7 linked regions of the Coturnix japonica genome follow. The protein of the gene in region 6 purifies or fractionates together with the protein of the main gene of each other region. This does not show direct contact. Links are inferred from orthologs where the notes say so. Each region holds a gene or a part of one and is shown on either strand. Other genes may lie near its edges. The genes, in order: CCDC85C, PATJ, WBP2, PHGDH, AMOTL2, YAP1 and ALB.

Region 1 (4,409 bases), on a different chromosome or scaffold from region 6:
TGTGATTCTCTTCTCTGCAGGGAATTACCTGGGTTTGTGTGCAAGTTATGATGATTGTCTGTGTGTGGTACTATGGATTGACCACCTGCATATCCCATGTGAAGCAAGCCAGCCCTAGAACCAGTCCCAATCCTGTTACCTCATTGATAACAAAAGGATATAAGCTGCTTTGGGAAAGGAGAAGGGCCAAAAGTCACCACGGAAGGGATGAGCTCCGTCAGAAGAAGGTAAGTCTTTTGCTTCAGCAGGGTATTATAGAATGGCTTAGGATGGAAGGGACCTTAAAGACCAACTAATTCCAGCCCTCCTGGCATGGGCAGAGCTGCCACCCACCAGATTAAGCTGCCCAGGAGCCCCATCCAATGTGGCCTTGAACATCTCCAGGAACAGGGCATCCAGAACTTCCCTAGGCATTGTGGGGCAGTTGTCTTAGTTGTCTTAGCATATGCCTGGGCTCAGAAACCAAGCAGCATGCAAAAGAAAACCAAAGGAACTGCATATTTGCTGATTAGACTTAGGCAGAAGTTGCAATTCTCCATCCTTCTCTGGACCGATGCTCCCTCCATGCACAGACCATCTGCTCGGCATCCCACGCTCTGGCAGCAGATTCAATGCTTCTTCCTTGCTACAGGGTGTCTTGGACCAGCTCCACAGTGTGGTCAGAAACCTGAGGCGGTGCTGAGTTAACCCTGGAGTCAAATCATTTACCAAGGTACCTTGGGAACACAAAGCTGGCAACTCCCTGGGGCTTCTAAAGGAGGCTCATGTGGGAAATACTGGCAGCACTGCACTGCCCCAGTACATTTTCACTACGCGATGCTGGCCAAAAGCAGCTGATATTCCAAGGAAAAGTGCTTTAGACTAAAAGTCAGGGGATATGATGCAAGGATGTAGGAAATCTGCCTACACGTTGCCTAGGAAATCCACTTTGTGAACTTTTTGCACCCCTTCCTTGGTCCTGCCTAACGCGTTCAGAAGTGACACTGGCACACCTGATAGTAAAGACTATCGGAACCTGAGGAATAGCACTGCCCGTTTATAAAGGCAGTTCCGCCCCATATAACAGGGGGATGGTGAGGGCTGCAGCAACCTGCGGCAGGCACCCGGAGACAAAGGCGGCTCGGGATGGTCGCGGAGCTCCACCGCTGCGACCGAGCGTTTCCCAGCGCCTGGTGACAGCGTGGCCGTGGCTGCTCCGGCGCCGCACGGCGGGTTCGTCTTCCTGCCTGTCCGACCCCACCCTTCCCCGGGCTGGTGCTTCCCAGGAAAAGAAAGGAAGAAAGAGGAGGAAAAAAAAAAAAAAAGGAAAGGAAAAAAAAGGGAACCAGCGATGGGAAATAGAGGCAGCCCGGCAGCAGCGAGCAGGGCACGGAGGGGCGGGGTGCCGTTCCTTTGTACCTGCCGTTTGAAGGCGCCAGGCGGCCCCGGTCCCGGTAACCCGAGCTGGCTGCGGGGCGCGGCGCACCGGGGCCCGGCGAGAGCCCGGCCCGGCCCCGGCAGCCAATGGGGCAGCGTGGGAGGGCGGTGCTCGGCCCCGCGCCGCTCCGCTCCGCCGCCAGCAGCCGCCGCTCGCCTCCTCCTCCTCCTCCTCCTCCGCCACCGCCGCTCGGTCCGGCTTGGCTGACGCTGGGGCTGTAGGGCCGGGGTCGGGCCGCGCCTCCCAGCCCGGCAGGAGGTGGGACCAGCCCCGCGCTGCCGCCCGTCCCCTCCCTCCTGTAGGGCTGAGCCATTCCGGGAAGGCGCCGGCTCCCCCGCCGCTCCTCGGCAGCGCAGCACCGGCATCGGCCGCCACCGCGCAGGGCTCGGCCCCACGTCGCCGAGGGTTTGGGGGCGAGCGGCGGCGGCGGCAGCGCGGGGCCCGGCTCTCGTCTCCCGTCTCTCATCTCCCCTCTCTCGTCTCCCGCAGCGGGAGGGGCGAGGGAACAAGTGGACGGAGCGCCCCGGGGTTGGGGGTCGGCCGCCTCGTAGTTGTTTCGCCCAGGGTAAGTTGGCCGATCTCCTGTGAAGGCTTCGCTCGCAGCCCGCCGATTCCCCGCCGCCCCCAGCCCAGTTTGGGGGCGCGTCTTTATTTATTTTTTTTCTTTCTTCCCCGTCTGGATTGCATTTATTTTTTCTTTTTATTATGGAGTCTATGGGGAAGCAGATATTCCAGTCGGGCTTTGCTGTACCACCTTGTCCAGCACGTTACGAGGAACTATAATTTTTCTTCCCTAAGATGCAGCAGTGAATTTCAGTCCCAGGAAGTCAAGCGAACAAAAATAATCCAGATAACCTGAACCGTTTGCTACTCTGTAAGAGCAGGCACTTTCCAGGCACAGATGATGGCCAAAAATTCCCTCGAGGGGTCTAAAGAGGACCTGAGCAAGATTTCCGAGGAGGAGATGCTGAGGTGGAGCAAGGAAGAGCTGGTGAAAAGACTGAGGAAAGTGGAGAATGAAAAGATGAACTTAATGGTGGAACACGGCAACTTGATGAAGGACGTGAACCGGAGGCTGCAGCTCCACCTGCACGAGATCCGCGGGCTGAAGGATATCAATCAGAAGCTGCAAGAAGATAACCAGGAACTGAGAGACCTCTGCTGCTTTCTGGATGACGACAGGCAGAAAGGCAAGAAGCTGTCGAGGGAATGGCAGAGGTTCGGGAGGCACACGGCCAGCGTGATGTGGAAGGAGGTAGGCATGTACCAGCAGAAGCTGAAGGACTTGGAGGCGAGGCAGGAGACCCTGCTGCGGGAGAACGTGGAGCTGAAGGAGATGGTGTTGATGCTGGACGAGGAGCGGAGCGGGGCCGGCTCACGGAGCTCCATCGACAGCCAGGCCAGCCTGACCAACCTCAACGGCGGCTCGGCCACCAGGGACGTGGGGGACGGGAGCAGCACCTCCAGCACGGGCAGCGCAGGCAGCCCTGACCACCAGCACCACCACCTCCATCATCACAAGGCTGGCGACAGCAAGGCCGGGGCCATGCGGAGGTCCATGGATGACCTATCTGCACCTCTTCATCACCGGAGCATCCCCAACGGTCTCAATGGTGAGTTTGTCCCCCTTGCAGCCCTGCCTGCAGCAGGTGCCTTTCCTTGAACCCACCTCCTCTGAGTGCACACCTGCCTTGTACTGGGGTGAGGGATGCCGTGGGGGGGGAGATCTTTCAATCCCCACCTCTGCCCCTGGTGTTCCCAAGCTGCTGTGGTAGGGGTGGTTCAGGGAGGAGGTCACTGGGCTTCACTCTGCTGCTTGGCTGGCTGCTGGTGTTTGAGGTTGAAGCTTGGAGGCATTTATCCGGAGGACTGTGTTTTGTTTTGTTGCTGCTTTTTTTTTTCCCCCTCAAAAAAAGCAGGCTGTGTTTTCAAAGTTAAACACTGATTTTCCCATCTCTCCCTCCTATCTCCTCCCCCCTTTACGTGTTCTGAGTTACATTTGCCTTGTTTATTTGCTACTTGTATCAGGTTGATAAAATCCCAGCTGTGATTTTTGGAAGTAGCTGATGGAAGTGCAGGGCTGCCCCACGGACATCACCTGTTCTTAGCATTGTGAGCTCTCATGGCAGGCTGCCTGGCTGTGCAATGCCCAGCAGTTAGAAAGAGCTGGGGCTTTGCTTTCCTCTGTTCCTCTTCAAAAGCAGGAGGATGGTTTGCAGAGAAGAAGCTGCTCTCGAAGGGACGCTGTGTTCACCGTGTTGTGTAGATCAGTCATTAAAGTTAGAAGCGAGCTCCAGGGTGCAACTGTGCCAAATCTCTGACTGCTTGTATTCAAGCACGTTTTCTCCTGTTGTCAAATAGTGGCCAGACATTAAAATAATAATATTGGAATGTCTTTAAAATAGATTTTTTCTTTCAATTTAAAACCAACAAGACCTATTTTGGCCAAGAGGTTTTAATGGGAGTCAAACCAAGCACCAATCTATTTAATTGTTGTATACAAGAATCCTTTTGATGTTCTTAATCCTCTTTTCCAACCAGAACAGGGATCTGGGATGGGGCTTCTGGATGCGTTGGCCAAATAACTGCCTTCTGTGCCCAGAGCTTTTGGTTGTCCTAGTGGGGCCAGAGAGTGCAGGGCTTTTTTGGGGGGCTTTATGGCAAATGCCCTGAGAGATCTGAGGGCACATGCAATGCACCTAATAGCCCAGTTTTCCAGCCGCGTGCTTGTCCGTGAATCCGCTGTGCTCGGTCCTGTTGCTGCAGCTGCATGTTTCCACTCGCAGCTGGAGATGTTCCTGCCACCTCGCCCAGCAGTCAGGGCACGCTGCTTGAAAGGGCGATGCAGTCACCAGATGTTGCAGGATCCAGCAAGCATCTTTCTTTTCTTGTTATTTTTTTTTTCCCCTCTCCTTTTTTTTTTTTTTTTTTAAGTGCTGTGTAAATCAGCGGTGTCCTGTTTGTAAAGCTGCAGATGGCCTCAGCTCCTGGT
Region 2 (4,290 bases), on a different chromosome or scaffold from region 6:
TTTTCAAGTAATATGTAATTGAGAACAAGTCCCCAAGACTGGTGTTCAGGCTCCAGAGAAGCACACAGCTCCATCCACTATAGCCCTGTTTGTGTTTGAGGACCCAAACACATAATCATTAATCAATTTCCAAGTACTGATGCTTAGACCTGATCGGGGTGCCAACAGATCATTCACAAATTAAGAGGTCCATTCCTCGATGATAGTTATGAAGTAACCCAAAACACCATGGTTTGTCTTGTAAAAAACTATTTGTCCACTCTGCATTCAACTTCCTCAACTCCATTCCCAGATTTCTACAGCCACTTAATTATCTTATTGGTAGACAAAGCTGCAAACCTCAAAGTTCAAAATTCATGTCACAAGTCCCAACGTAATCGTAAAATCATTGCGAAAATCATGAGTTTCAGAAAGCGGAGTGTTTTGTAACCCCAGAAAAAAACCCCACTCTTCAGCACAGCGTGTATCTGGGTTTTGACTGTCTTCACTTTTGAGAGCTGAACTCAACGCATCATAGGGAGCGGGAAAGTTTCATAAGGTTTTGTATGAAATCTTAAGACTTGGATCTCCTTCAAAAGCAAACTAAGAAAAAAGGAATTCCCCCATGCTGGTGCCAGCAGAGGTCATCAGAAGAGCTGAAAGGTTTAAGTCTTCCCCTGCCATCACCCCCCAGAGCTGCCACGGGGCACTCAGCCCGGCACATCCCAGGCTCAGAACGACACGACACCTCTGGCAGTGGCCTTGACAAGTTCTTGCTCTGCGGAGGCTCCTGGGAGACAAAACTAAGGGGCTCTGTGCTGGGAGCTGGAGGAGGGCACGGTTTAGCCAACAGAGCTGCTTCTGCCCACGTCCCCCCTCTCACCTAACAACTACAATTGCTTCACCCCCAACAACGTGAATCCTTCCAAGAGCTGTGCTCATAGGGGAAATCCTGCCTCTCCGCAGCTCTCAGTATCACTGTAACCTTCTGGGCCATTGAACACTGCAAGTCCTCACCACACAGTGCTAACTGCTGCTATTTTTCAAGGCTCCTAACAGGGCCATCTGAGCAGCAAACAGCCAAGGGTACATCCCGATCCAAAGTCACCTTTCTGCACTGGTGCAGCTGTAATTTTTCCTAGCCCTGTTACCAGGAATGACTGATATGTGCATGGGGCGTCTTCATCAGTCCTGGGAACATCTCTAGCTTGGAAAATTTCCATCTAAGCAAAGGTAAAAGCAAGAGAAAACAGCATGAACTTCATCTTCAAGTGTTCATAATGTAGCATCACCTGTAAGCTGTAGTATTAAAAATGACATAGCTTACAAGCAGTATGCACTGATTAAAGAATAACACTGTAGCACATTTGGCTGTTCTGCTCGGCTTTCCACTTTCAAACATACAGGAAAATTAAATCCAACCAAACTTAGCACATACACACCTCACAGATGAAACCACCAAGGACTGCTGTGCTGTGTTTTGTTACAGTCTTTATAAAATCACTACAGTGTATTTGAGCTGCTCCAGGCTCTTGCAAGAAAGAAACAAGTGAAGGGTGCTGCGAGTACATCAATGAAAGCACACCAAGTGTATTCAGGTAAAAAACAGGCCAAAGCTAAATATCATCAAATATCAATAAACCACCTTTGTGGGGAAACCATCCCGGTGTTAGAAGCCCTCAGTGACTGCAGGCCGAGGAAAGCAAAAGAATCCCGTGTACCTGTGATTAGCAGCTTTGAGAGCAGCCTTATTCATGTCCAAGGCACGTCAGCTTCCCACAGGCAAAACCTGAATTCCTGTGGGCTGCAGCCCAGAGGGGAGCACTGCCATGGGGCCTCTGATGTCTGATAGGAGGCTGAGCTCACACTGAGGCCACTCAGTGCAGCCATGAACATGCTACGAAACCTGTCCTAGCAAAACTCGTGGAAAATTTACTTCTGGGATCTAAAGAGCAGCTAATTTGAGTGCAACAGGACACTGAGTGCTCCAGCTCCGGTGATGACAGCGCATTCAACTGATAAACCATTCTGTTGTGGAAGAGAACTGTTAAACCTGAAGCCATGCTCCATTTCTAAGCCTCAAAAACTTGACAAGAAAGCAGAGAACAATTGTCCTATTAATCAATCCCTAAATAAGTACTAATCAAAAAACTGTTAAGAACTGCCGGATTGAAAAGCACTGATGAAAAATGCCACAAATGTACTAAAAGGCTGGAAAAGGCCTCTAAGGTCCCCACATCCCTCAGTGCCACATTGCTGCAGCTATGGAACACCCCAACAGGGACGGAGACCCACCGCTCCCTGTGCAGCCCGTCCCAAAGTTTGGCCACTCTTTATAGGAGAAGAAATGTTTCCTAACATCCAACCGGAACCTGCTCCGGTACAACTTAATGTTACCATCACCCCAAGCGATGGGAGCTGCCCACACCCCACTGAGTGACTGAGCCAGAGCCCCCAAAGGGGCCGCCTGCCTTCCCCAGCCCCACGCTACACCCGCACCGGGCGCCGAGGGCAGCGGGCCGTCCCATGGGGCCGCCCCGGGCCGGGCCCACCGCGAGCCGAGGGAGGGCAGCGGGACGAACGAGCCGCCCGCCGCCCCTCGGGACGCTGCTGAGAGAAGGGCCGCACCGCTGCGGTGGGCGCGGGGCCGGCGGCCGCTCGATACCTGCGGCCGGGAAGAGAAGGAGGAAGAAGAGGAGGAGGAGGAGGCGGTCGGAGTGCAGCGATGGCCGCCGGCTCTCACCTGGGCGGAAGCGGGAAGCCAACACGCCTCACCTGCGGCGCAGGAAGCCGGGGCGGCGCGGAGGGAGAGCCGCCTCCCGGGGGACGGGCGGGCAGCGGGCGGGGGAGGCACACGGCCGGGCTGCGGCCATGGGATGGAAGGAGCGGCCACGCTGCCCTCAGCCGCCTTTAATAGTGCCGGGAGGTCAGCCGAGAGCGAGACAGCGATCTGTGTATTTATGCGCAGTAAAGCGACGGCTAAACAAGAACTCAGGCGCTCCGAGCTCCTGAGTCCTGTAGGGATGAGATGAGCTGTGCTCGTGCTCTGCAGCACGGACCCTATCACTGAGATGGGAAAAGCCTCGAGAAGTGTGGGGCCAGGACAGAGCTAAGCAGCTGTAATGCTTTTCCTATGGAGCGCCTCTGGATTGTGGATATGTCTGCTCTTATGTATATATACTCACAGACTGAAAATATAAAATGAAACCTCACAAAAACTCTTTATTCTGCTACACAGTTTCCTGAGCTCATGTGTAGCTCTCGCACTTGGGTAAGCATTTCCAAACCAATGCATTTCATTGCAAAACAAGCATTTTCTCTCTCCCTCCCCCAATTTGTTTTCCATTCAAAGCAATAGCAGTTGCACTAAAGCACACAACACACTAAGAACACACCACTCCATCCTCCCTTGAAAGCAATTCAGCTTCTTGCTGTGTAACTTCCCAGCCCTCACTCTCAACTTTAATTAACGCAGCGCTCGTGAGAAGTGACAACGTTCCTGACAGTGACGAGCCACAAGCCCTGTATTTATCCATCCTTGAGTTACAGTGTAGACACAGAAGCACAGCACATTTCCCATTGGAGCACCCCAGTCCCGATCTGGAGGGCTGAGTTCATTGCAGGGTGCACTGTGTGCGTGGCCTTTCTGTCCCAATTGCTGAAGGGAATATCAATTTTCATTTGCATAGTTTATCTGCTGGACTTAGCACACACAAATCCCCCTCGAAGCTGTGAGCGCTATTTCACATCAGTGAGATCTTTGTCAGACATCCGTGTATTTTTAAATCCACATTTTTACCAATTCTTTGAGTGCCTGGAACAATAACAAATCATAGGAATGGATTTATGCGTAAGTCACCATTCACTCAGGAAAATAACCAGGTATGATAACAAAAGACTTTCAGAAGGGAATGGTGATACATGGCATGGGCTGTGCAGGGGGTGGTTTGATCTCCATCCCTGGTGATGTTCCTGATCTGTGGGGAGGTGGCACGGAGGGATGTGGGCAGTGAATGCTGGATGGTGGGCTGGAGATCTCACTGGTCTTTTCCAACTGTAGTGAGTCTGTGATTGTTTTCAGTCTCTGGGTCCCCATATGTTTCTAATGAAATGCTTCTGGTGCAGAAGGAAACCCGCTGACAGCACTGCTGCCTGTCCTGGGCACATCTGCCACTCAGTGTCCATTTACCCCATGTAAACAGCTCAGGGTCCTGCGCAGCTCACAGCTGAGAGCTGGAATTCTCAAAAACGCTAGAAAAATAGGAACTGAGCTTAAAAAGGGCGAGAAAAGGTTAGAAATCACCACATAAT
Region 3 (4,351 bases), on a different chromosome or scaffold from region 6:
AAGAATCCTGGAATCCAACAACAATATTGACAGCGCTGGGGAGGTTCCAAGCAATGAATTGTTTCAGTTCTTTCTGTCTCCCTTCGACTTCTGTCCTTGGCTTGGAAATAACAAAGTTGAAGAGATGAGATGTTTTTTTCCCTCGATGATTTAATCTGTATACATGAAGTTCTGGAGCTTCCCATGCACGCCAGCACTTCCTGACATGAAGGCTGAGTTTCTTAATACCAAACGTCAGCCAGAGCTATGAGAAGAGCATTACTGGGGGCACTGTTAGCTCAGGGAGCATTGGGGGAAGCTGTGTATGTGTGCTACTGACTTTAATAGGAGAGGAATTGGGGCTGTTGGTTATGAGCATTTCTTAAAAGGGAAACTTGCAGCTTATTGAAAAAGCGGATACAAAAGGCACAAAGCTGTGCTTTTCTTGCCAAGAACTGTACGCTTTATGTCTCTGAGTTGATTTCAGTCTGGTTTCCATTATGGAGCTTTCAGTTTCCTCGCTGCCCCTGGGGATTTGCAGGCACTGGAGGAGGGGCTGGGCTGCAAACCCTGCAGGGAAAGCTCAAATCCATACAAAAAAAAAGGTGTAATTTAGCCTCATATCACCTCTTAAAACATATTCACACATTATGCTGAGGGTTGATACGAGGAGTCCTTCAAAACATGTCATTCTGCAGCGGTTTTAATGCAGTTATGCAGGTGTTATGATTGTTTTAGGAGTCAGCTCCAGTTGGAGGCAGTGGGTTATACCCAAACTGTAGCTGTGCCAATAGTGCAGGTATTTTCCTGTCCCCGGATTTCCTCTCGCCCACAGAGCAGCTTTCTTTGTCTATGGGGTGACTTTTTGGCCCCTCCAGTTTAACCCTCAGTGGGTTAATTGTAGGAACCCAGGTGTCTGGGACACAAAATGGGCACTGAAACAGCCTGGAAAGTGGGGGGGAACCTTTGCTTTTAAAGGGGTTGAGCCTCATTTAGTGCACAGTATAACCAGATTAATGGCGTTTTCATTGTGAGCAATGAAAACGTGCAAAGTGCAGCCAAAGATAAAGTCCTGGAAGGGGAAAATAAAAGGGAATTGGAATGCAGTCAGGGCACTGGGCAAACCGTGCTTTGTTTGTGTGAGCTCTGTGGTACTATCTAAAATAGGAAGCTGGCAGAAGAGCTGCCAAGTCACGCAGGCTGCAAAGAACTGAGCTCATTTTATTATATATGGTCAGAGGGAGCAGAATGGGGTGATTGATGGGATGGGAAATGGGTTATCCCAAAAAGGAGCCCGGCTCTTTGGGTTGTGTATAGCAAAGTCAATATGATCTCAGCAGCTGGCTGGAGCTCGGGGAATTAATAGCAGCGTTAATTGGTGGCACTGCTCCTCGGGGACGGCAGACGAGGCTGAGTGAAGCGGTGAGATTTGGGGCAGAAAATAACCCTTAAGGAGCGACCTACACCACCCCAAAAAACCAACATGGCTGCCGAGCGAGAGGACTACAACTCCCAGCATGCCCGGGGAACACCACCCCCTCGAGACTACAAATCCCAGAGCGCACCGCGCGCCCAGCGGGCTCTTCTTCGCGCAGGCGCAGTGCGAGCTCGGCTCTGTGAGGCGGAGGCGGCGCTGAACATGGCGCTGAACAGGAACCACTCGGAGGGCGGCGGCGTCATCGTTAACAACAGCGAGAGGTGAGCGGTCAGGGGCCCAGCCCTCTTCTCTCTCCTTCTCCGAGCCCCTTTCCGTCCAAAATGGCCTTTTCCTGCGGGTCATATGGGGCTGAGGGGCTCTAACACCCGCCCCCCCCCCCCCCCCCCGCCATGTTGGGGTTAACCCTTGGTGTGCCCTATGTGGCTCATTAACCCTTGTTTAACCCTATGTGGCTCATTGCCGTCATATAGGCCCTGGTTCGTGGCCCAGGTGCCCTTCTGTACGACTGGGGATGGTAATAGGTCTAAATGTGCTGTGCACACCATTAGGGCCTGGTTTACCTGACGTGGATGTTGTCATATTAAGACAATACTACCTGCATCCATATGGATGTGTTTTATTGGTCTTAATCAGGCTGGTTTCTGATTGAGGCTTAAGGAGTCAGTGTGGGGTTATAGGAGTGAGAAGAGGAATGATCCCAATCACGTTATAGTGACTGAGATGGATTCTTGTGACCTCTGGTCGCCTCATTGCATAACCCAGGCTGAGGGGTTCCTGCTAAGCAGCCCTACCTGTGTTGTGTTGCTTGTGGTGAAGCAATTTAGGGAAATGATCGGGCAGAAATTCAACATAATGCAAGAAATACATTGAGAACTTGAGTTTAATTGACTGGATTCACCAGCCGGCTGTGCAAACAGCTGTATCAGCTCACTGAAGAAGGAACACGAGGCTGAGAGCAAGCAGAAGTGCAAGGCAGAGTGAGCATGTGTGCTGGGTGCTGGGCTGAGGTTAAGGCAGTTCTGGTAAGTCAGTGAACTCTACGTGCTGGAATCTGCCCCAAGCTCTAACACTGTGCCTCTTCTCATCTTGTTTGCAGCGTTCTGATGACCTATGATCATGTAGAAATGACCTTCAGTGATGCTGAACCGATGCCTGAGGCGTTCAAAGGGACCAAGAAAGGGAGTGTTTTCTTGACTCCCTACCGAGTAAGTAGTAAAAGGCATTAGAAAGAGATCAGAGTTCTTCATGGCTCTGCACTTCTACACGTGCATGAAGGTCTGGATAATGTACCCGTCCTCCCCTTGTGGGGAGCACTGTGGCTTCATTGCATGTCCTGCCTATTTGGCAAAAGATAATCAATCTGATTAGTTGTCAACCATGACATTAGTTCTTACCTGGGCAGCTGTTTTAGTCCACCAGGCATCTTCAAGATTGGAAATGAGCGATGGTTTGGAAATGCGGAATGGAGCAGTTCAGCTACTAAATCACAGCTGTGAGTTCTCTAGGAACTGGGAGGAGTGTTATCTGAGCAAGTGTGTAATCCTTCTGGAAGGCTTTATGGCCTTGAGGCATCATTTTACCCTTGTGACAGTTCTGAGAACCCTGGGGCTTGCAGAAATTACAAGGATCTTTGAGTGTGGGAGGCAGATTCAGTCCACCAGCAATGTCCACAGATAATAAACCGGGGCAGTGTTTCCTGTTCATTTTAAACACCCTTTGTAATGTTGTTTCTTTTTCAGGTTATCTTTATATCGAAGGGAAAGGATGCTCTGCAGTCTTTTGGGATGGCCTTTTATTTGTTGAAAGATTGTGAGATTAAGCAGCCTGTCTTTGGAGCAAACTATATCAAGGGTACAGTGAAAGCAGAGGCAGGAGGTACGTATAGCACTGATACAAAGCTGAGCTAAGATGCAGAACTTCTATAGTTCCTAGTAAAGTAATTATTCATTGTAATGTGAAGTGGATACTGGATGCATAGGTTCTTTCAGTATTGCTAAAATGTGTTTTTCTCTTTGAAACCAGCGGCTGAAAATATTCCCCCCTGTCAGCTCTGTGCAGTTACAGTGAACAGATTAGCTGTGTAACTGATCTCATTCCTGCCCTCTGTATGAAATTCAGAGTTCAGGCAGCCGAGTGATCTCACTGAGTAAACATCAGAGCAGGGATCAGGCTGTGACAGCAGCACTGAGGGCGTTGCTTGGCCTTGGTCAGTTCAGCCTCTCTCTTATTTATGCATCCAGATCCTTCTGTGCCAAACACTCGCGGTCTGTTCTGGATCTGTACGGATTTCGAGGTGTGAATCTCCAACATCCGTTTATTGTGCAGTTTAGGAAAAGCACTGCTGTATTGTTTGGAAGATGATGGATTACCTTGAGCTTAGGGAATGTTCAAGGGCAGCTTTATAATATGTTCAATGAGGAGTTGTGGTAGACTTCTTTTTTCCTAAGAGATACTTTTATCACTGTCCTATGCTTCTACTTCTTACCAAGGCACTTATTTCATCCAGAGCCTGATTTATTCCCTTAGCTGTGGCACTGCAACACAGTGCACTGCTCAGAGGGCTTCAGCCTATTACCCTGAAATCAGCCTTGTAGCTTTTCTATGGCAGCAAAACAAGACCATCCAGTGTGAGAGGAGAGCTGAGCACTAAGGACAAACACTAAACTGTGTGAAAGGCAAACTGCTTTAACAAAATCTCTGTGAGTCCCCCCCCAGAGGCTGGCTTAGTTAATGAGGATGTTGCTGCAACAGCCAGAGGAGTCTGGCTTAGCTCAAAAGGCTCTTTTATCTCTGTATCCCTGTTTCATTACTGACACAGCTACTGCTTTGATGCATTGTTGGCACTCTGGGCTGTGCGTGGTTTTCTTTTTTAGCCTGTAATAAGAGAAGTGGCTAATTCGTTTTTATTTTTTAATTATTATTATCCTGACTTGA
Region 4 (4,244 bases), on a different chromosome or scaffold from region 6:
CAGTGGGATTTGGCAGTGGGGGTACCGACACCCTGTAGCCCCCAGGCCCCATCCAGGCCATAGTCCAGTTGCCACCTATGTCACCAAGTGCCACATTAGACGTACCCACCACTCCGAGGGGCTGTTCATGGGACATGGGGACTGTGTTCGGGTCTCTCCATAGGACCGTGGGTGCACACCAGTTAGTACCTTCATCCAGGTCCCCACATCCCTGCAAGGGCTGCTGGGTGTAACTCCTGCTCTGCTCCCCAGGAGAGGGCACCAGCTGCCTGGGGAATGCTGCTCGCATTGCATTGCGGTGGTGCCTCGGTCACACATGCCCTCGAGTCACCGCATGAGACAGGGTCTGCAGGGGCTGGGCACAGCGAAGGGCCCCCACCCACTGCAAGGCGTGTCCCCTGCTTGTCCCCGCACATGCAGGAGGGACAAATGGTTTGGGAGCCACCAGGAAGGGCACCCAGCTAGTGCTGTCCCAGGCTTGGCAAGTGCCTTGAGCTCGGCCTTAATGGTTAATAGGGGCCAGGGCCAGGCATGGAGCTGTGCCAAGGCACTGGAGCAGGGCCGAGGGGCCGTGTCCACACATCCTGCCCTGAATACCCCCAACATATACCGTGCATGGGGAAACCGTGCCCCTGCAATGGGTCTGCAGCCCCTCCAAGAGGCTGTATGGGGCCCTGCTGCAGAATGTCTCCAACCCCAGCCTTGACCCCACCTCTGCCCCATGCCAGCTGCCTCGGACTTTCCTCCCTTTGGCGTCACGGTTGTTCCCTGGCTGCAGCTGCGGTGGGTGCACACGGTGCCGGGGTGCACACAGCCTGCAGTGAGTGTGCCCTGTGCCGGCCGCATCGGGAGGTGTTGTCTCCATGACAAAGGGGACACCCTCCGTTCCTGCCCTGTGCCACGTTGCCGTGCCGTCCCCTCCAGGGCCAGCGCTTTCCCCACTCGGTCACCTGGCTCCCACCCCACGGAGGGCGTTTGCTGGGTGGCTCCCGTTCACCCCATGCAATTGGGAGCTGCCGGCGGGGCTGGCCCCGTGCCCCCAGCGCTTATCGGGGCATTGCTCAATGGTGGGCGCAGCGCTGGATCAGCGCAGTGGTTTGCCACCACCTCCCTGTGGCGGGGAAACTGAGGCACGGCAGTGGAGTGGGAGGTACGTGGGTTGTGGGGGTGCTCGATGCTTTTGGGGGCCCTGTTGGGCTCCCTACTCCGTCATCACAGCAGCTGAGGGTGAGGGGCTCAAGGGGTTTGGGGGGGCTGGGATCCTGGGCTCGCAGCCACCCGGCGGCGATGGGGAGAGGAGGGAAAAGAGGTGGGAAAGAGGTGGGATTATGGAAATGGGATCCAATGAGACAAGAGAGCAGCCCGCAAAACATGCCCCACCGGCGGCCCATTTAGTGCGGCGGGCAGCGCACAGCAACCTCTTTGGCCAGAGCTGTGCGGACAAGCAGCGGGCACGGACCCCTGACAGCCCCAACAGCCCCACACCGAGCGATGGCCTTTGCCAAGCTGCAGAAAGTGCTGATCAGCGACAGCCTGGATCCCTGCTGCAGGGACATACTGCGGGCCGGGGGCATCCAGGTGCTGGAGAAGCCCGGGCTGAGCAAAGAGGAGCTGCTGCAGGAGATCCGGGTGAGCAAACCGGGGTCTGCGTGCAGCTCAGAGCCCTGGGCTGGTGGCAGCGGGTGGGCACAGATGGGCACCATGTGGGCACCGCAGCTCTGTGTCCCAGACAGAGCAGACACACGGTGAAAGGACGTTGCAGGACGGTGGGAGGCTGGAAGCCCCCTCGCACAGCGGGTCATGTCCCCGCCTCCTGTGTCTGATGCAAGAATCCTGGCTGCTTTCACGCTGCTGATCCCAGCCCCAGGCCCCCGGTTCTTCCCACCCCACCACCCACCCTGCCTGCCATCCCCACGGCTCAGCCCCGATCAACGTGCGGTGTCTGTCCCTGCAGGACTGTGATGGGCTCATTGTCCGCTCGGCCACCAAAGTCAGCGCCGACGTGCTGGAGGTGGCGGGCAGGCTGCAGGTGGTGGGCAGAGCTGGCACCGGCGTTGACAATGTGGACGTGGAGGCAGCCACCAGGAAGGGAGTGCTGGTGATGAAGTAAGAGTGGGACCCGCAGCCAGAAGGGAGGCATCCTGCTGGCACGGGGCTGGGGGGTCAGCACAGAGCCCGGCCTCCCCGTGGGTCTCCATCCCTACGGGGAGGTCACACGGTGACCCCGCTCCCTGTCCCCAGCACACCCACCGGGAACAGCCTCAGCGCTGCAGAGCTCACCTGCGGCATGATCCTGTGCTTGGCCAGGTGAGTGCAGGGCTGTGCGGGGTGGGGTGTCCAGCCCACAGCCCACAGCCCTGCGCTGACTGTGCCCTCCCCTACTGCAGGCAGATCCCACAGGCAGCTGCCTCCATGAAGGAAGGCAAATGGGACCGAAAGAAGGTATGGGCAGGAGCAGTGCCTGGGAGGGTGGGTACTGGGGGGCCCCTGCTTGCTCACCACTCTCCTCACCCCCCCAGTACATGGGCATGGAGCTGAATGGGAAGACACTGGGTGTGCTGGGGCTGGGCCGCATCGGCAGGGAGGTAGCCACACGGATGCAGGCTTTTGGCATGAAGGTGAGCAGCAGGACAAAGGGCAGTGGCGGGGAGCAGGCTGGACACAGCTGTGAGCCCCCACTCTGCTCCAGACCATCGGCTACGACCCCATCATCACCCCTGAGACCTCGGCTGCGTTTGGTGTGGAGCAGCTCCCGCTGGAGCAGATCTGGCCCCGCTGTGACTTCATCACGGTGCACACACCACTGCTGCCCTCCACCACGGGTAGGGCAGTCTGAGGGTCTAGGGATGTTTTGGGGCTGTCCCCGTATCCCTGTCCCTGATGGTGCTCCTCACAGGGCTGTTGAATGACAGCACCTTCGCCAAGTGCCGCCGTGGCGTGCAGGTGGTGAACTGTGCCCGGGGTGGCATCGTGGATGAGGGAGCGCTGCTGCGGGCACTGCGCTCAGGGCAGTGCGGAGGGGCTGCCCTCGATGTCTTCACACAGGTGAGAGGGGTCCCCCATGGGGCCATCACCCAAATTGGGCCCCAGGATGGGCACAGGCTGAGGCTGGGGCCATGTGCAGGAGCCCCCAAAAGACAGAGAGCTGGTGGACCACCCCAACGTCATCTGCTGCCCACATCTGGGTGCCAGCACTCGGGAGGCGCAGAGCCGCTGCGGCAAGGAGATCGCCATGCAGATAGTGGACATGGCCACTGGGAAGGGGCTGGTCGGCGTGGTGAGTCCCCTGGTGCACCTCAGAGACCCCATGTGTGATAGATCCCCACTGCTCATCCCATATCTCTTCTCAGGTCAACGGGCAGGCGCTGAGCAAAGCCTTTGCACCCCAGACCAAGCCCTGGATTGCCCTGGCCAAGGCGCTGGGCACAGTGTTGCATGGCCTGGCCAAGCAAGCGACAGGCAATGTGCAGGTCTGCACCCTAGGTGAGAGGTGGGCACGTGAGTTCCAACACAGGGACCCATGGGGATATACTGGGTCAGAAGGCAGGAGGTGGTTGGATGATGGGATGAAGGATGGGAAGCAGGGGATGGATGGAATAGAGGGAATACAGATGGACATGAGCTGATCGCAGCACTGATCCTAGGGGCCCCCCTGAAGGATGCCAGCAGCTACCTGGCACCTGCTGTGGTGTCAGGCATGCTGGCTGGAGGAAAGAAGGAGCCGACCCTGGTGAACGCCATGCTGCTGGCCCAGGAGGCCGGCCTGAAGGTACTCGGAGTGCCACACAGCAGCCCAATGCCACTACGTCCTATCCTTCCTTGGTATAACCCCACAGGGCGCCTTGCCCTCAGGGAACATCCATGTAGGATGTGGGTGCTGAGTGGCCACCTTTCCCCACCAGGTCACAGCCACCCATGGTGACACAAGCCCTGAGCCCGAGGGCTTGCTGCAGGTGGCCCTGCAGGGCACCCCACACCGGGTGACAGGAACAGTGCAGGGCAGCAGCCCAGTGCTGCGGGAGCTCAACGGGGCTACCTTCAAGCAGCCGGCACCACTGGTGGGCCCTCTCCTCATCTACAGAGCCAAAGCATCTGAAACAAACACACTGCCCACACTCGCTGGTAAGCTCCTGGTGTCACCCCAAGCAAGGGAACATCTGGGGGGTCCCCACAACCAGCCTGGAGTCAAAAGGGGAACCATGCTGATAGGGCGTTGTGTGGAGAGACAGGAGGGGTGGTTTGGT
Region 5 (2,369 bases), on a different chromosome or scaffold from region 6:
CTCCGTGAGCGCTGCTGCAGGACTTTGATGACGGCATCTTTCTCCAGGATTTGGGCATGAAGAGCTTTTAATCTGATGAGAGACAAAGAGGGGGAAGATGAGATAGGAAGGAGGACCTTGTGATGGAATCAAAGCCATAAACTTCAATGGAGTCACTCGGACCACTGAGGATGCTCGCAGCACCCAACAAGTGGCTCACAGGGAAGGTGGGGTACCTGCTCTCCATCTCCTGGTGCTTGTGGTTGGCCAGCAGGAGGTCCTCGTTGAAGCTGCTGTTGGGTGAGTGCCGTGGTGAGTGGCTGATGAGGGTGGTGTCCCGCTGGGCAGCAGCAGTGGCGGCAGCATCCATGGCAAACTGCCTCATGGTGCATTCCTCCAGGTACTTCTGCTCCCACTTGGTCATGTCAGCTTCCAGGGCCAAGATCTTCTCCTCCTTCTCCCTCAGCTGCTCAGACAGTCTATGGGCACTCAGCTCGGGCGTCCCTCCACCTGTGGTTCCCACTTGCCTCTGCAGCAGCCAAGAAATGACCCAGAGAGAAGGTGAGGAGATGCTGGGATGCAGATCACTGGCCCCTCCCACCTCACAGTCCCCAGGATGTCCTTTACCTGCTGAGCCCGCAGCATCTTCAGCTCCTGCTCCAGCCGGGTGCGCAGCCGCAGCTCCAGCTGCTCCCGCTTCTCACAGGCAGCCTGGAGCTGACCCAGGGCTGCCTGCAGCCGCTCCACCTTCTCCACATACGCCCGCTTCTTCCGCAGCTCGGCCTCTGCCTTGGCTGCCCGTGCCTGGGCACTGCCCAGCGCCTGTTCCAGCAGCTCTGCCCGCCGGCGCTGGTCCTCGTTGGCGCTGCGCAGCAGCGAGGCTTCCCGCTCCAGCTTCTCCTTCTCCTGTTGGTGCTCATAGCCTGCAAAAGAACATCTGTCTAAGACTCGGAGACACAGTGCAGGGGGGTTAAAAGGCCCACGGAGCCCCCCGGCCAAAAAAAGAGGCTGTGCCCACAGGTCTCCACTCAGCTGTGTGGTGTCAGCAGCCCTCAGCCAGCACATGAGGTGCACTGGGGCCAAGGGCAACCCTGCAGCACACATTTCAGAGCATGGCCGTGCCCTGATGGACATGACACCACCATGGACACTTGCTGCCATAGAAAGCCTCATTTTGGCAAATTCCAGCCAAAAATGTGGCCTGAGATGAGAAAATCCATCCTAGGTTACACCTAGCTGTTGATGTAAGGACTGTGACACGATTCCTCCCCCACGATACCAACGCCAGCTCTCTGATGAAATAGCATTTAGGAAAAATAAAGAGCTATGGATCTTGCCGTATTTCTCCCCCAAGAAAAGAAATTCCAGCTTGCACAGGAGAGAAGCACGGAAGGGCTGGGCAAGCACAGCGAGGGAGTGCGGACTTTGTGCTGGAAGAGCCTGCACACGGCAGCAGGAATGTGGAGAATGCAGGTCACCCCGCCGGCCGGCCGGGATTAATGGCTTGCATCCAGCGCCCGGAGCAGCACAGCCATCCCTGGGGAAGGGCAAAAAGCTCCTCTCTACCCCCCCCCCACCTCTTCATCCAACATAAAGGCTTCTGCACTGAGTCCCTGCTGTGGCAAATCAGGCAAAGCCGAACCCCTGGGGACTTACTCTGCGCTAGGAGCTTTGCCACCGTGCCCTGGTTGCTCTCCTGGTTCTCCTGGGTCTTGCTGGCCAGCTGCTTGTTGGCCGATTCCAAGCGTTCTGGTGCAAAAACACAAATAAAAGAAATGAGATTTAAAAAGGCTGTTTTGGACAGATGAATCCGCCTACCCCCTCCCACCTGTGAAAACACTCCGACTAATAAAACTGCTAAAAAGAAGAATACTGGGGAAAGGCTGATGGACAGAGAGGGCCTGCAGGAATAGGGGAGAGGAAGGGTCTGGAACTGGGAACTGGGGCACGGGAGCCACCCAATGGAGCTGTGGACCACAGCTACTCTCACCTTTCAGGTCTCGGTTGAAGTCCTGCAGCCGCCGCATCTCCCCATCTCTTTTGGCCCTCATGGCTTTCTCCAGTGCCTCCCTCTTGGAGGATGCCTTCATGAGGTTTTCGTAATCCTCTGAGATGCGCTGGATCTCCGTTTCCAGCTGGAGAGGAGGAAGTGATGGGCGGGGGTGAGATATTCGTGGAATGAGGAAAAGAAAGGCAGATGCTGGTGAAACACTGCCCAGGCTCAGGACCCGTCCTGCACTGCCAACAGGGCTCCGCAAACCCACAGAGGATGGGCAGGAGCCGCAGAGTGAGAAACCCCCACAACAACACAGGTCTGGGGGCAAAAACCCTTTTTCTTTTGCTTTCAGCCCTGTGGGCACAGAGGGAGCTCTCTTGCCTTAGCATGGATT
Region 6 (3,650 bases):
TGAGAGAAAAGGTGATGCAGATTCTCTGAGATAACTATTTTAAGAAAGAAACTTTAATTGTTCATGTTCCAGGGATCCTTTTTCTATGATGAAGACTAAGACAACATATGATTTTATTTTAACTTGTAGAGGAAACATCGTGTCTGTCAAGCAGATGCAACGTTTTAGAAAACAAAATAGGTTTAAATCTTGTAATATTGTTGTCTGTGTAATTTGTCTACCATTCTTGTGCCAGCACTGATTTTGCACGTCAAGATTTGCTTAGAAGTCTAAATGGAGTCTGTAATACTCAAAACTGATTCCAAAAATGATGCAAATGGTTGCTGTGCGACCCGCACCCCATTGCAAATAGTGGCAGCTTGTAACCGAGGCAGCTGCTGGGTCTGAGTGAGATCTCTTTTGTCATTCTGTGCATTGGATGATTCTAAGATTCCATGTGAACAAGAAAAGTGTTTTTGTGTTATTTGTGTCTACATTGAAAATAATGTATTGGCAGGAAAAGCAAGCAGACATTCTAATTAAAACTGAATAATTTTCCCACCACTTTGACATTTTGCACCAATATGCACATTCAGGTCTGTTTTCAGGAGCTTTTAGAACAAGAATTACACATAAACATGAGAATGTTGCATTGATTTCACAGGAATAATAAATGTGAGCATATGTTTCATGCTGAACATCATTGTGACTGCAAGTCTTGTATGGTCAGGGCTTGTAATTTCTAGCTGTATCTTGTCTAAGGATAGTACTTGCCTTGTATTTGTTTGCATTTTGTTTTCAAACATTTGTTGTTTTGGTTCCATAGCCATGAATCAGCGAATCAGCCAAAGTGCTCCAGTGAAACAGCCACCCCCTCTGGCTCCTCAGAGTCCCCAAGGTGGGGTCATGGGTGGGAGTAGCTCCAATCAGCAGCAACAGATGAGACTTCAGCAGCTACAGATGGAGAAGGAAAGGCTGAGACTGAAGCATCAAGAACTGCTTCGGCAGGTGAGGCCACAGGTTAGACACCTACTATTTCTCTTGTATGTTATATTTTGTTTCGTTTTGGCTAAGTTGTTTCACTGATTTTTAAAGACTAATAACTGTGCAAAACGTTTTGAGATTTAAAAAGGTTTGAAGTCATTCTATTAGTGGTATCAGACTGATAGTGAAAGCATCTGACTTAACCCACTGAAGGATTTTGCCTTCCTCCCTAATTCCCCCCTCTCTAACAAAACTTTCTGAGATCAAGTTTCTTTGCTGTTAGGATGGCCTCATGGACTGTTGATCTGACTGGAGAATCCTCTTGAGAATATGTCTCATAGTCATTGAGTTCTGAGTCATGCAAAAAGAAGCTGGTTCCCACAGTTGTGTTAGTTCTCCCTTTTAAGTACACGGAGGTATTTCACTTTCAGAAGAACATGTTGGACTGTTGGATTCTACAGTTAAGTTTTTGTAAGAAACATTGAAGAGACACCTTGTTGCTAAAAATCTCATCTGTGTAACTGCGGAGGAGAGCGTGGAACAACTCAATCACTCATGCTGCATTTTGAACCACTGTTTTTCTTATAATGAGGAATTTCAGACTTCATAATTAGGCTGCAAACTGTTTCTTCTAGTGTTTTTGACTATATTAAGTATTGTCAGAATGAATGTCAAAGTGTAGCACTGGACATTGGCATCTCTGGATTTTGAGTTTGGGCTTGGCTTCCTTTTCACTTTAAACTTCTGCTTCCATTTTTCCATCTGTATGTTTTAAAAAAGGTTACTGCCATTCTTCAAGATACTTAGGATGTTCTTTGGTTTTGTTTTCTTTTTTGACACTGAAGAAAGCACTAATCTTCTCTTTGAGGAAAAGCTCTTAAAATCTTACCCTGTTCCCTTTTCACTTTGGGTGATGGGTCTTGTATCAGATGAGAATGATGTCTTCACCTCAAAGACAGCTTTTCACTTTCTTATTTACCTGCAGCATTCTATCCTGGAATCTGGCTCCCATTATCTTGAATAGTCAAGGCTTGTACTGTAGGATTCTTCAACATCTCTTGGTATAAGATGGGTCATCTTTAAAGCTGTTAGTTTTTGTAATACTCTAACTAAGAGTACATTGCAAAGATGGTGTCAGGACTTTCTCTGCTTAAGCACCTGGGCCTCTGCTGTTCCTGCTTTGCTATTAATCCACCAAACAAACATCTTACCCTGTGCTAGCATGCTTCTAGGTAGGCATTCTAATTTTCTTCTTGCCTCAGTTGTCATTGAGAATCTGACTAACTTTGAACCAGGTGACAGACAGTTCCCTTCGTGTTGTTCTCCCTGGGCATCCAGCTTTTCTGTCAAATACACATCCTTGGTAAACCTGTGAGTTTTGTTTCACTGTCTCATGATTTTTGTAGTTTCTAAACTCCCTTAACCTGTCTCATCTGGCCTGTCTTGGGGGCTTGATACTACAAGATGGTGTTTATAAGACAGCCTGCACAGGCAAAACTTGCAGCTAAAGTAATTTTTATCCATCTTATTTTTACTCATAGGCAATGCGGAATCCCAGCACAGCAAATTCTCCAAAACATCAGGTAGGCTCTTAACTGATGTTTCAGCATAATTAGAAACATGAAAACATTAGATTAGACTAGCTGAGGAGCTTTGCTACATAAGGGCATTCTAAGAAAAAAAACATGCTCTGCCAATACGTATTTTTGAACCATTTCTCTGATCATGACCCTAACATTATCTTTTAAGAGTTCTGCATTACCACAACTTGATATCAATATTTAAATGCAATGGGAATTCATTGCACAGTTTTCTGCATTGAAAGCAATGTTCTTGTTTAGCATTCTTGAAGATACCGCTGTTCCAGTCCTGATGTCATCAAGAAGTGTATTTAAAGCAAACCCCTCATTATTTCTAAGGTAGTAGTTTGTGGCTTTTAAGTTCTATTCACATGAATGTTCTTGATCTGTGTAAGCAGGTGTGATCATAAGGATGTCTGTAAATCTGTTAATAAAAAGTCACTTTAAAAGTTTATTATTTTTAAGCATGTACAGTGTAATAATCATTTAATAAATCAGACTAATAAAGTAATTGCTGTGGCAATATAGTATGTAATTATTCCACTTTGAGATTTAGCCAGCTCTTGCACAGATGCATTTTCTCTATTGGAAAAAGTAATTTTATAAAGCCTTCCAAGCTCAGAGCAAATGAAAATGGTCAAAATATGTAGCACAATGAACAGTTGAAAGTGGACTTCTTTTGGGCACTTCAGAAGTTGAATGTGAACTGAATCCCTGAAAGGGTGGATTTATGAATATATTCAGCTTATTGCCTGCTATGACTAACATTATTCTTAATCTACTAGCTTTTAGGACAATATTTATATTGGCTCATATTGTACTTGGTCTTTTTAAGAAATACAACATTATGCACTATACGGGAAACCCAGAATAAAAGGAAGTACTCTGTATTTGGCAGTTATGAGTACTGGTGTACTGTTGCATTCTTAAACGTACTGTAGAATTTATACGTCACTGATTCTTCTGAGAAGATCATCTTCAAAATGAGAAACTCAGACTTCAGAGACAGTACTGATGTTCTGAAAAATATCTTTGACAGTATAATCAGAGCACTAAAACTGAAGCATTTTACCTGATATGTAATCATTACCCAACTATTCATTTACT
Region 7 (3,650 bases), on a different chromosome or scaffold from region 6:
GCCATTTGGTTACAACTGGTAAGCACAGTTTTCTTTTAAGAGACTCTTCAGCTTTTCCAAACACGAGCTCCTACAGACTCAATCAATTGAATTTTGCTTTCCAAGTTCAGCTAAAATTTTCAAAAGCTCCCAATCTGAGGAAGCTATATGGGTTCTCACATACATTAAAAAATGAGATTCCAATTCTGTTATGTGGATAATTAGCTCTGGGGCTACGAAAATTCAGTGTCAGCTTATTAACTCAGCAGAATTCAGTGGTTTTGAGAATAGAAGAAATCACAGAGAGGAATAAGGAAAATAAACAAATGTACTCACATAACCCTCAGAACAAGCCATACGTCTGTCTTCAGGAAGCTGGCAGCACTTAGTACCAATAGCTGTCATTTTCTTTCCAATTTCAAGCAAGGTTTCAGTTGATACTTGAGGCATTTTCTTACTGTAGCGGACCAGGATGCTGAAAAAGCACAACAAAATGACTATTCATACACATCTGAAGAATGCTCTACTGAACTAGACCAGCAAAGTATATCTACTCCCAAGGTGGCCAGAATAATAATTGTTTACATGGAAGAATGCTTATCAGAAAGTACTTACGACTTGAGGAACTCTGGCTCGCCATGGGCAGTGAGAAGATCACAGTTTGTCTTCACAACATCCTGAGTTTCTTTGATGTGTTGGTTCAGTTGTTCTTGCTGCAAACAAGTGTAAGTTTATCAGTAACAGTAGAGAAGGACATTTTGGTAACAATTGTACAGATAGAGTTTTTGGTCTCTTCTAAAGCTTACTAGCTCTAAAATACCCATTATGCAAGGCCAACCATTTGTTTTGAGTCTGTCTGGAGTAAGGGGGCTTGATTCACTTAGGAGAATTCAGTTCTGACAGAAATGGAATTAAAATGACAGGAAGATTTTTGAAATTTAATTGTCCATTGGACTTGATCTCTATTAGGGATTTGTCTCCTTTATTCTTAAAATCAAGTGACTATTTCTGCAGTATAGGGTAATCAGCTGTGAGAAGGAACATCCTCCTTCAGTAGCTGGGCCAAAGCTGCCAGTGAATCAACTTCTACACTGATTTGTGTATGATTAAATTCAAGGTCAGAAGACCAGAACTTAGGATTCTGTATGTGAGCTGGCCATACCAGTTTCTGTTATAATCAGTGAGCAGCTTCTCAAATAAGCAGGAGAACAGATTAATTTGGCTAACTAGCTGTTAACCATCTTATTTAGGACAAACAGTATCAGTTTTGAGAGTAAGAGGCATCAGGAAATGGAGTGAGACTAGTCTAAAGTTTTGAGGGTGACCAATGGAGTTCCTGACCAATGGAGTTATAAAGTTAGCTGAGCTAACTTTATAACGTTGTCATTGGATCTGGACTACATTGTGTCCCATCAGAATACTAACTTCTCCTGGGGATTAGTCTCTTAAAATGCTTTCTGTCTGCTCTTTTATGCAATTGTTTCATGATAGGTATCATGCAAGCATTTTAGTTACATGCAGACAAAACATTGCACCTACAGCATTTCCGTAGCACTCAGCAGGGTTATCAGTTTTGCAGCACTTTTCCAGGAGTGATTCATATCCCTTGGCAATTCGCAGGATCAGCTGTGTGGAGAACTCAGGGTGTCTTCGTGAGTATTCATAAACAAATCTGAAAGACGCATGAGCAGACAGCATTAGAGTCTCTCAGCTGAGATCATGTAAGGTGAACACTTTGTTTTCACAGATTATTTTTTTTTGGACCAATCTGTTGACTGCCAACAGGGCAAATGTAAGAACAGAATAGCCTCCCCAGGACAGAATGCTTCTCAAGCTGATAATGTATGTGGACCTGAACAGAAACCCTGAATAAAGGAAAAGCAATGAATTTCAATTCAGCTTTGGTAAGTAGTGCAGTGCTTTGCAGTCACAAAGCATGAATGAGAACCTAGGCTTGAGTTACATCTGTCACACTGGATTTCCATATGGTAGTCATGATCTCTCTTCTCCACGCAAACTTGAAACACCCAAGAGGGTAGGTTTTTGTTGTGCTTTTTTCCCCCTTGTGGTGCAAAAGGTCCAGACATGAGAACAGATAATTTAGAAGAGTGTTCAAATACAAGTTTATGCACTGCTGGGACTACTTACTCTGACATGAATGCATCATGGCCTGCTTCAAAACTTTTACATACTTCCTTATCTTGTATGTATTTTTCAACTAATGAAGGAAGATCTGCAGGTTTCTCATCAAATTCTGCTTCCATAATGCACTGGCTTCTTTCCACAACAGGCTTCTCACAGCAGCCTTTGATTTTGCTTGAGAAAGCATCTTGTCTAGAGCACATATTGTTTATGATCTCTGCCTGTAAAATTAAAACATAGCCTCAGACAAGCTATGAAATAATAGTTTAAAGATAGATTAATTCAACTCTTCCATTTTCATTCAGGTTACTTATTTACTGAGCAGTTTCCTAAACAAATGCTGTCTCTGTAGGAAAAGAAATAATTAGAGGGACTGGCATTTCCAATGTATGTAAAATGCAATGTTCTCAGGCACAAGGGAGAATAAGGTTCCCTCTCTGATCTTAGAATCTTTAAGACAAGCTCTGGAAAAGCAGTGAAAGCCTCTGAGACTGTCACAAAGGTGACTGATTGATCTCTTCAATCCTGTTGCGTGATCAGCTCTGACAGAAGACCAAACATTAAAAGCTCTAGATTCTCGTGAAGCCAGCCTAGGACACAAGCTAGTTATAGGTTTAAGAAGTATGTCTAATTTCCAGCTGGGCGGGCAATATTTAGTTAATGTTACTACTGCAGTTTTGCAAATCCTCCTGTTTGAGCTGTCCTACAGAATTTGTTGGCAATAAAGGAAAGCTGGATTAATGGCAGTATACGCATCAGAGCTGCAAAGGATTTCTGGCCTTTTTGCCTCTGATTTCTTTTGCCCTGTTAGCAACAGAATTGGACTAAATGTCATCAAACAAGTACCATAGTAAATGTTTTGTTTTTTAACCAAATACCCATTCTACCCTGTCTGCAACCAGTCCTTGCTCTTGTGATCATAAAGAGAGATAGACTTAGAAGTGGTACAAAATCTGTTTCCATTAACAGCCATCTGAGCTGTTTTCTAGAGGCTGAGGAGCCTTTTGGCAGCACTGAATACAAGTTCCTTGGACTCTGAATAGCTGCTGAAATATTCTTCCTACTGGTTTTCCTGTATGTAAACATTTTTTTGAAGAATATTAAACTTACCATGTCATCCATGCACTCCACCATGTCCCCTTCACAGCACTCTTTGTGGATCTCCTTAGTGTCATGTACAAGTTTAGCAACGTCTGAGAATGCAGCCTTGGGGTATTTTTGGCTTAGGCGAGCAAGTTTTCTAGTTAGAAAAGAAGAAAAATACACTTGACTCAAAGCTCCGTGTTGAACAGGAAGTTGCAAGTCACTACTGATATGACATGGTAGATCAGCAGTGTTCTCACCTCACTTCAATTGCCTAGAAAACAAGGTTTTGTAATTTGTACTTCTGATCTGAGCCACCTGTGTAAGAATCACCCTCTGCTGTTTCCTGTCTATTTTGAATGGCTGTAAAATGTTTCTAATAATAAGTAGCCCTGGAAAGTTTTATTACAGAACTGCAGAAGTTGGAAGGGACCTCAAGAGGTGAT

Evidence for each region.
Region 1: the proteins of YAP1 (region 6) and CCDC85C purify together in Homo sapiens (affinity purification with mass spectrometry; 5 studies listed by BioGRID and IntAct, with this or other methods). This does not show direct contact. The link is inferred for Coturnix japonica from reciprocal best matches to the Homo sapiens genes YAP1 and CCDC85C.
Region 2: the proteins of YAP1 (region 6) and PATJ purify together in Homo sapiens (affinity purification with mass spectrometry; 7 studies listed by BioGRID and IntAct, with this or other methods). This does not show direct contact. The link is inferred for Coturnix japonica from reciprocal best matches to the Homo sapiens genes YAP1 and PATJ.
Region 3: the proteins of YAP1 (region 6) and WBP2 purify together in Homo sapiens (affinity purification with mass spectrometry; 7 studies listed by BioGRID and IntAct, with this or other methods). This does not show direct contact. The link is inferred for Coturnix japonica from reciprocal best matches to the Homo sapiens genes YAP1 and WBP2.
Region 4: the proteins of YAP1 (region 6) and PHGDH purify together in Homo sapiens (affinity purification with mass spectrometry, with the first as the bait; 4 studies listed by BioGRID). This does not show direct contact. The link is inferred for Coturnix japonica from reciprocal best matches to the Homo sapiens genes YAP1 and PHGDH.
Region 5: the proteins of YAP1 (region 6) and AMOTL2 purify together in Homo sapiens (affinity purification with mass spectrometry; 10 studies listed by BioGRID and IntAct, with this or other methods). This does not show direct contact. The link is inferred for Coturnix japonica from reciprocal best matches to the Homo sapiens genes YAP1 and AMOTL2.
Region 7: the proteins of YAP1 (region 6) and ALB purify together in Homo sapiens (affinity purification with mass spectrometry, with the first as the bait; 3 studies listed by BioGRID). This does not show direct contact. The link is inferred for Coturnix japonica from reciprocal best matches to the Homo sapiens genes YAP1 and ALB.

What each region holds. Positions count from the first base shown.
Region 1 is NC_029520.1:43,763,011-43,767,419, reverse strand, and holds the start of CCDC85C (coiled-coil domain-containing protein 85C), read left to right. Parts: upstream 1-1,557; 5' UTR 1,558-2,318; coding exon 2,319-3,030; intron 3,031-4,409. UniProt on the Homo sapiens protein: May play a role in cell-cell adhesion and epithelium development through its interaction with proteins of the beta-catenin family. May play an important role in cortical development, especially in the maintenance of radial glia.
Region 2 is NC_029523.1:24,546,376-24,550,665, reverse strand, and holds the start of PATJ (inaD-like protein), read right to left. Parts: upstream 2,813-4,290; 5' UTR 2,723-2,812; intron 2,664-2,722; exon of another isoform or gene 2,645-2,663; intron 1-2,644.
Region 3 is NC_029533.1:4,035,536-4,039,886, forward strand, and holds the start of WBP2 (WW domain-binding protein 2), read left to right. Parts: upstream 1-1,542; 5' UTR 1,543-1,618; coding exon 1,619-1,677; intron 1,678-2,513; coding exon 2,514-2,622; intron 2,623-3,156; coding exon 3,157-3,292; intron 3,293-4,351. UniProt on the Homo sapiens protein: Acts as a transcriptional coactivator of estrogen and progesterone receptors (ESR1 and PGR) upon hormone activation. In presence of estrogen, binds to ESR1-responsive promoters. Synergizes with YAP1 to enhance PGR activity.
Region 4 is NC_029523.1:4,130,472-4,134,715, reverse strand, and holds the start of PHGDH (D-3-phosphoglycerate dehydrogenase), read left to right. Parts: upstream 1-1,385; 5' UTR 1,386-1,491; coding exon 1,492-1,629; intron 1,630-1,954; coding exon 1,955-2,106; intron 2,107-2,241; coding exon 2,242-2,307; intron 2,308-2,387; coding exon 2,388-2,442; intron 2,443-2,519; coding exon 2,520-2,618; intron 2,619-2,689; coding exon 2,690-2,822; intron 2,823-2,896; coding exon 2,897-3,045; intron 3,046-3,124; coding exon 3,125-3,277; intron 3,278-3,350; coding exon 3,351-3,483; intron 3,484-3,644; coding exon 3,645-3,769; intron 3,770-3,902; coding exon 3,903-4,122; intron 4,123-4,244. UniProt on the Homo sapiens protein: Catalyzes the reversible oxidation of 3-phospho-D-glycerate to 3-phosphonooxypyruvate, the first step of the phosphorylated L-serine biosynthesis pathway.
Region 5 is NC_029524.1:3,381,899-3,384,267, reverse strand, and holds part of AMOTL2 (angiomotin-like protein 2), read right to left. Parts: intron 2,115-2,369; coding exon 1,970-2,114; intron 1,729-1,969; coding exon 1,636-1,728; intron 903-1,635; coding exon 607-902; intron 509-606; coding exon 216-508; intron 73-215; coding exon 1-72. UniProt on the Homo sapiens protein: Regulates the translocation of phosphorylated SRC to peripheral cell-matrix adhesion sites. Required for proper architecture of actin filaments.
Region 6 is NC_029516.1:163,414,804-163,418,453, reverse strand, and holds part of YAP1 (transcriptional coactivator YAP1), read left to right. Parts: intron 1-805; coding exon 806-999; intron 1,000-2,504; coding exon 2,505-2,546; intron 2,547-3,650. UniProt on the Homo sapiens protein: Transcriptional regulator with dual roles as a coactivator and corepressor. Critical downstream regulatory target in the Hippo signaling pathway, crucial for organ size control and tumor suppression by restricting proliferation and promoting apoptosis.
Region 7 is NC_029519.1:45,350,511-45,354,160, reverse strand, and holds part of ALB (serum albumin), read right to left. Parts: intron 3,362-3,650; coding exon 3,232-3,361; intron 2,343-3,231; coding exon 2,128-2,342; intron 1,652-2,127; coding exon 1,519-1,651; intron 693-1,518; coding exon 595-692; intron 455-594; coding exon 316-454; intron 1-315. UniProt on the Homo sapiens protein: Binds water, Ca(2+), Na(+), K(+), fatty acids, hormones, bilirubin and drugs. Its main function is the regulation of the colloidal osmotic pressure of blood. Major zinc transporter in plasma, typically binds about 80% of all plasma zinc.